Linked DNA regions of Coturnix japonica. The protein of the gene in region 1 purifies or fractionates together with the protein of each later gene. This does not show direct contact. Links are inferred from orthologs where the notes say so. Each region holds a gene or a part of one and is shown on either strand. Other genes may lie near its edges.

Evidence for each region.
Region 2: the proteins of SPATA5L1 (region 1) and TIMM13 purify together in Homo sapiens (co-immunoprecipitation; 3 studies listed by BioGRID and IntAct, with this or other methods). This does not show direct contact. The link is inferred for Coturnix japonica from reciprocal best matches to the Homo sapiens genes AFG2B and TIMM13.

Annotation. Positions count from the first base shown.
Region 1 is NC_029525.1:9,450,990-9,455,391, reverse strand, and holds the start of SPATA5L1 (spermatogenesis-associated protein 5-like protein 1), read right to left. Parts: upstream 3,044-4,402; 5' UTR 2,995-3,043; coding exon 1,930-2,994; intron 1,428-1,929; coding exon 1,242-1,427; intron 588-1,241; coding exon 429-587; intron 1-428. UniProt on the Homo sapiens protein: ATP-dependent chaperone part of the 55LCC heterohexameric ATPase complex which is chromatin-associated and promotes replisome proteostasis to maintain replication fork progression and genome stability.
Region 2 is NC_029543.1:222,405-225,269, forward strand, and holds TIMM13 (mitochondrial import inner membrane translocase subunit Tim13), read right to left. Parts: upstream 1,405-2,865; 5' UTR 1,306-1,404; coding exon 1,168-1,305; intron 1,056-1,167; coding exon 987-1,055; intron 910-986; coding exon 811-909; 3' UTR 658-810; downstream 1-657. UniProt on the Homo sapiens protein: Mitochondrial intermembrane chaperone that participates in the import and insertion of some multi-pass transmembrane proteins into the mitochondrial inner membrane.

The DNA.
Region 1 (4,402 bases):
AACAAAACAGCGGAGCACAATACTCCAACTCTTTAGTGCATATATTAATTTGAAAGCAACGCATAATGCTAATTTGGTCTTCCTTGGTAGAAAAAACACAAAGCCACCCTTCTGGAGCTTCCCTCTCAGTCTCAAACAGAATAAAAGGCAATTGTTGAATGATATGCAAGAGCCACCTCTGGCTATACATTCAGAAATGGACTGCTGCAGGGTTTACCAGCTACTGGGAAGCAGAATAATTATTTCATTGTGTTATGCTTGCTGCTCCTATCTTGAGATGCTAAATTATTACAGTGCTTGTCATTTAATGTAGTAGAAAATAATACTAAAAATTTGCATGATAAAGCACTTCTGCAACATAACACACAGAACAGTTTGAAGAACAGGCCATCAGAAACTCTCTTGACCTAAACGCATTTACACCTTACCTGTTTTAACTTCAACTTCACATCTTCAAGACCACCAATCTGCTCCCAAGTGACGGGTTTACATTCTTTGAGTCCAATTGCACTTCGAAAAGAGGATGGCTGAATTCTTTTAAAAGCTTCTTGGAAATCTGACATGTTAATCAGCACTTCAGCTGAATCCTGAAGGAAAACACAGTGTATTAGCCACATTTTCACATCATAAATTATAAAGCTTTATTAGCACATAAAACGCTTCACAAAAGGCCAAAGACAGCCATAATCACTAAACTTCCCACCCTAACAAGCTCCAACAGTGTATACACAAAGATGTAACAAGACAGAATATACACTCTTTGTGGCAAGATCTTATAAGGAAAGAACAATTTTATCAGACTTGTGTGTTCGACAGAAAATTACTTTTCTCCCTAAATCACAGCTCCAACTAAGTTAAACAGATGCTAATTCAGGGTTACTACACACGAATTCCCATATTCTTTTAAATAATCAAAAAGGTCCAACATTCATAACCCTCAAGCAGACTGCAAGTTCCAATCTTAAATGACAGATGCAATAACAGAAGTATTGTGATATGCTTTACCAAGGAGCTTGCAGTTCTCGTGGCAAACAGCCCATCTACTTGTTGATTATTTTTATTTGCCCATCTCTGTCTTCCCAGGATACCAGGCTCAAATTATTTCACTATTTTCAATTACATTTACAACACTTTAACTTCTGAATTCCTCATCTTGTTCAGATTTTCAAGTAAAACTAAGTGCTAATGGAGAAAGGGTGTTAGATAATAACCATGACTTTCATCTTTATTTACAACCATACCAAGGAGCTGTGGAACACAGCCTGCATGGCAGCTTCTCTGCAGAGCGCTGTAAGGTCAGCTCCAACGTACCCAGTTGTCATCTCTGCCAGTTTAACCAAATCAATGTCTGCAGAAATGGGCATGCTACAGGTGAGCATCTGCAGGATGGATCTCCTCTGCGTAAGCGTCGGGGTCCCAATAATAACCTGATCCAAAGAAGATGAAATTTTCAATAGTTACTTCACCATATTCCTGTCATTTTGTCAACCTGGCCACGCAAATTTGTCTCCACTTTAAACCAACTACTAAGGATTTATACATACTTACATTACAACCAAAGAATTTAGGAGAAGCTTAATAATAGATTACAGATATTTAAAGCATCTTTAATTTATGCCTACTTTCCAAGTGAATAGTTGTATAATCAGTTGTTCATAAGACACTATGAGTTACTGTCCATCGAATCCTGTTTTAAGGTAATAGAAACATCTGACTTAGCAATTAGGTTATTATTTCATTGTTCTCAAAGGCTGAATTAGATAACAGGTTTATTTAATTGAACACGTTCTGTAAAACACAAGCCAAGAGCAAAAGCATCTTCAAGGTTGACTATGTGAACTGCGGGCTTGTCTTTACTAACCAGCCCCATGACACCTCCCTTAAACAGGAAGAAAAGAGGACTGAGCACGGACAGCAATGTCTGCTTACTTCTCTGTCAAACCTGCCTGGTCTTCTCAGTGCGGGATCCAAGGCGTCAGGCCTGTTTGTCGCTGCCACAACGACCATCCTGTCCTTACGACCGACACCATCCAGCAGCGTTAGCAGCTGAGCCACAAGGCGATCCTCAGGAGCGCTGTTGGAACTCCCTCGTTTTGGGCACAAAGCGTCGATCTCATCAATAAACAGAAGCGTGGGCCCTTCCCAGGACATCTCCCTGCCCTTCTCAAAGACACGTCGCAAATTCTCTTCGCTTTCCCCCGGCCTGGAGCCGCACAGCGCCGGGCCGCTGATGCACAGCAGATCCGCACCCACATCTCTCGCCACCGCCTTCACCAGGAGCGTTTTCCCCACGCCTGGAGGGCCCACCAGCAGCACCCCATTGGGGACGGGAAGCCCCAACTTGTTAAACGTCCTTGGGAAGCGGAACGGCAGGTCCACCATTTCTATCAGAGACTCCCTCACATCGTCCAGCCCAGCCACAGGAATTTTTGCTGTCTCTTCCGTTAAGAGCCTGTACCGTTCTAACGCCATCACCTCTTTAATCGTTACATTTGTCTGCGAGGTTATCAGCCCGGCCTCCTCAGTCGCGGGCTCTACAGACAGGATCTCTATGTGCACCACGGGAGTGCGGACATTAGGGCCGACGGTAACAACGTAGTGAGGGGAGACGTAGAGGTTGCTCAGCAGGTCCCGCACCGCCTCCTGCAGCCCCGCAGCCCGCCTGGCTGCCCCGCCCCGCAGCACCACACGCACCGCAGCTCCCCGCAGGCGGCGGGCGGACAGCGGCTGGAAGCAGCCGGGGCTCAGCGACAGCTCGCGCAGCGCTGCCAATGTCAGCCCGGTGCTACAGGCCGGGTCCGCCTGCACGTACCCGTCCGCCAGGTCCGGCCGCGGCCACGCGGTGCACAGACAGCACCCGGATGGCAGCGAGATCCGCAGCGGAGCGCCCAGCACGACCCCGAGGGACGAGAGGGCGGCGGGGCCCAGCCGGCACCGCTGCGTGCCCTCATCCCTCGGGTCCGGAGGGAGCAGCCTGAGGGACACGGGATCCATGGCGGCACGAGCACGCGCCAACAACCGCCACGAAGGGCGCAGCCGCGGCCCCGCCTCCCAGCACACAGAGTCACAGAGTGACCCGGGTTGGAAGGGACCTCAAGGATCATGTAGTTCCAACCCCCTGCCCGGCAGGGCCACCAAACATACACCTTTACTAGATCAGGTTGCCCAGGGCCCCGTCCAACCTGGCCTTGAGCACCTCCAAGGACGGGGCATCCACAACCAACCCTCGCACCTCCCCGCCTCCCCTCACACATCCCCGCCTCCACGGAGCACTTGGGAGCCGCCTCCTTCCCGAGAGCCCTGCCCGGCGTTACCTTCACAGTAGCGTACGAACCTGCTGGGCTGAGAGAGAAAAGCATCATCGCCAGTGAAATCTGCAGTGTGCGTGATTTCAGTCCAGCGAGTAGCTTAATTGTGAGTAAAGTAATACGCACAGACTCCAATTGAGACCCCACACACTGTGATCACACGGGGCAGGGAGGGATGCCCTGCAGGACAGGGCTGTCAAGGTGTGTTCCGAAGGCTCCTGCAGAAAAGCATAAGGAAATCCTTCTGACGGTGTCCTTTACCATGGCCCTGTGTGAGCCAGTACAGAACAGTAACCAGTACAAACAAAAAGAGGCAATCTGAATGTTGTTAGCTCAGCTAGTTCTAAATACTTCATAGGAACTCATTATAAGGAAGCAGAGCCCAGAAATCATTAATACAGCTTTTTGAAAGTGTGAAAAATCGCCTTGTTTTGTTTTGTTCTGGTAGGATGAAAACCTTATTTAAGAATTTTTATGGGATGCACTGCTGAGTGGCTGCCCTGGATTGGAATGTGTACCTTTGAGTAGCCATCGCTCCCAGAACTTTTACACACCCCAAATTCACTCCTGACAAACAGATCTACCACCAAAAATCTAGTTTAAACTGTCAGTCACCCCCCAAAATCAACAAGAAGACCAAAAGCAAAACAAAACCCAACACGATTTTCACGACATTCACTAGATGGCAGCTGATCTTCAAGAATGACTCGTTTCTCCTTGCAGATCCAACAGATCCAAGGGAGCAGTCATCAGCAATTAGAGAAATCGAATGCTGCCCATCATTGTCTTTGCTGTGTTTCAAATATCACACTGAAAATCCAGAACAGTGAGTGTTCAGATCATTTCCATCTTCATTTCCCTGTTTTTCTTTTAATGTTCAGTTTCTTTCTGCTAATTTATGGGGAGGAGTGTTCCCTTATTGTTTGCTTTCATACTTCATGGAGCTTCTCTGGCAAAATGTAAATGCTATATTGTACCTATGCCAGATATTGCACATTTAAAACACCACGTTCCATTATAATAGAACTTCATGGATAAATTGTAAAGATACTCCTAAAGAAGGATGGGAATGAGCTCTTTCATGTCTGCATGTT
Region 2 (2,865 bases), on another chromosome or scaffold:
TTCCTGCATCAGACAGCAGAATCATAAGCACGGGGCTGGGCTGGCTCTGTTGTCTTGTTTTGGTACAGGACCCTTCCCCTCTCTCTGCAGGGTGATGCAGGTGGGCCCCTGGCATGTAAAGAACCCTCAGGACGGTGGTTTCTAGCAGGAATCACGAGCTGGGGCTATGGCTGCGCCCGGCCGTTCTTCCCTGGGGTCTACACCAAAGTCACCGCGGTGCAGGGCTGGATCGCGCAGAACCTCAAGCTCTGGAGCTGAATTTCACCACTCAGGGAAGGTGCCAACGAGAGGAATAATGGCCAGGGGCCGCACGGAGCCCACCAGCACCACCGGACACCTCTGGGATGCTGCAAAGGAGTGAAGATGGGCTGCGAGCACGAAGCAAACGCTCGTGTGCTGTGACCCGCAGACAGCGGGACCATCTGATAACTGCTTTGCTTAGAAAGATGGCTAGACTTTGGTTTTTGTCTATAAATAAATGAGACTTGTCCCACCTTCAGACCTGGCGACATCCTGTGCATTAACAGCTGCCCTTCCCGGCCTGAACTCGGTGCAGCCGGCAGGAAGCCCTGCCCCCCCCCCACACTGCGCCCATCACCCGGCACCGGGCTCAGGGCGGAACCTCTCGGTGCAATAAAAGCCGGAGGCAGCGCAGGGTCAGGGCGGTGTAACGGGGTTTATTGCCGCCGGCTCCGCGCTCCGACCCGTCTCACATGTTGGTCTCTCCCATGTTGTCTCTCTCACATGTTATCTCTCTCTCTCCCATGTCGGCTCTCTCACATGTTATCTCTCTCTCTCACATGTTGTCTTTCACATGTTGGCTCTCTCCCGCTGCAGCCGGGAGTTGTAGGCTCTGGACACCGCGTTCCAGGCGTCCATGTACCGGTCCATGCACATGGCGATGCATTTCTGCGGCACACGGGGCGGTCATGGAGGATCCCGGGGGTCGCCGCCCGCCCCGCGCCGCGTCCCCCCGCCCCGCTCACCTGCTCCGAGTTGTCCAGCGCCCCGCCGGGTTTCCCGATGCATTTCCGAAAGCATTTGTCCGTCATTCGCTGCGGGAACAGCCGTCAGCAGCCGCGGGCACAACGACCCCCAGCCCCCCCCCCCCCCCCCCCCCCCCCCCCCCCCCCGTGCTGCCGCGGCTCCGTCCCCGCCGGTCCCGACCTGCAGCAGCTCCTGCGCGTTGGCCACGGCGATCTGCACCTTCACCTGCTCCATGATGAGCCCCGGGTCCAACTTGCCTCCCCCGCCGGCACCGGAGCCGAAATCGGAACCGAAGTCGGAGCCGAAGCCGCCCTCCATGGCTCGCGGTCCCGGCGGGGCGGCAGCGCAATGGCGGCCCAAGAACTACGGCTCCCGGCGCCCCGCGTGGCCCGGAACGGAACAGAACGGAACGGAACAGATCGGACCGGAACAGACCGGAACAGAACGGAACGGAACAGAACGGACAGGAACGGACCGGAACAGCGGCCGTGCGCGTCCCCGCGGCGGCAGCGCGGAGCTGAGCTGGGCGGCACCGCGTGGCCGCGGGTCGCAGCTCGCGGTGCTCGGTGTGAGCAGCGCCCAGCAGCGCCCGGGGCTCAGTCTCAGTCCTGCTCCCATCGCTGACAACAGCCCGGCCGCCATTTGTCCCCTCGGGCACCTGGACGCAGTGCTGGCTCCCATTCAGCCCATGTCCATCACTGTCCATCAGCACAAGGCCCCTTTCCAGCCCCCCCTCCCTCATCATTGATCAGACAAAAGGAAACCAATAAAATGCAAAACATTTATTTGAGTGTGTTGTACAAAAAGTTTCCAGTCTTAAAATGTATATTACAAATCATTGTAAAAGACACGACGTTTGGCATGCATATCCTAAAGAGAAAGAAAGAAAATAATCCCACAACGATGTGAAATGGTAACGCCCAGAGCACGATGCAGCACCATGAGCTGCATGGAACGCTCCCATCATATTCACACACTGCATCACTATTCCTGCCATTAAATAGAATGAGCGTTTTGAACTGCGTGGGGATGCAGAACCAAACCCACAACTGGATCACGAGGCATCACCGTCATTGTTATGAACAGGGTTGAACAGCCCGCCCAGCTGTACAGCATTGTGGCCTGACCTTGCTTTGAGATGGGTTATTGCTCATGGTTTTAGTGTGATGAACGTGGGCAGCTGATGCACAGCAGCATTTACCTTACAAAGGATCATCGCTTTGATAACAATAAACAGGGAAACGTGGGTCCATCCGCCACCCCCTGCACTGAGCGTCCAGTTACTGAGCGTCACCTGCTGCTCGTGTGGTTCTGAATGGAGCCATTTGCCCCATTCACGCTGTAGCCGTTAGCATTTCAAGGAAGGCATTACGCTTACAAATGATAATTGCATGTAAATATGATTTGTATAAAAAAAACAAACACTTAAATTATTTAAAGTGGTTTAAAGCTAAGCACATTGAAGGGCAATTCAAAATTCTGTTTCCCAGGCCATGTCAGACATTGGACAAACGGCCACCTCCCATTTGTCAGCTCCAACAGGAATCCAATAATGCAATCACGGTCCCACCTTCCACTCACTGGGTTACAACAAAGCTCCACCCCCTGCGTGCACAGGGCTCGTGGTTTGGACCCAACAGTGGCAATGAAATCCAGAATGGAACACGGATTCACAGAGATTGTAAAAAGAAAATAGAGAATGAATGGCTTAAGGAAGGGAGAGAAGTGCCTCGAGTGCTCACAACACACAGTGTTGGCACACAGCATTGGATCTTCTTAGTGCACAAAAGAAAAAGGTTCTCACACGTTCTGGGGGGCAGAGAGGATTTCTAGGTGCCTCTTCAAGCACCCCCTGCTCAGGCTGCAGCTAAAGGGATT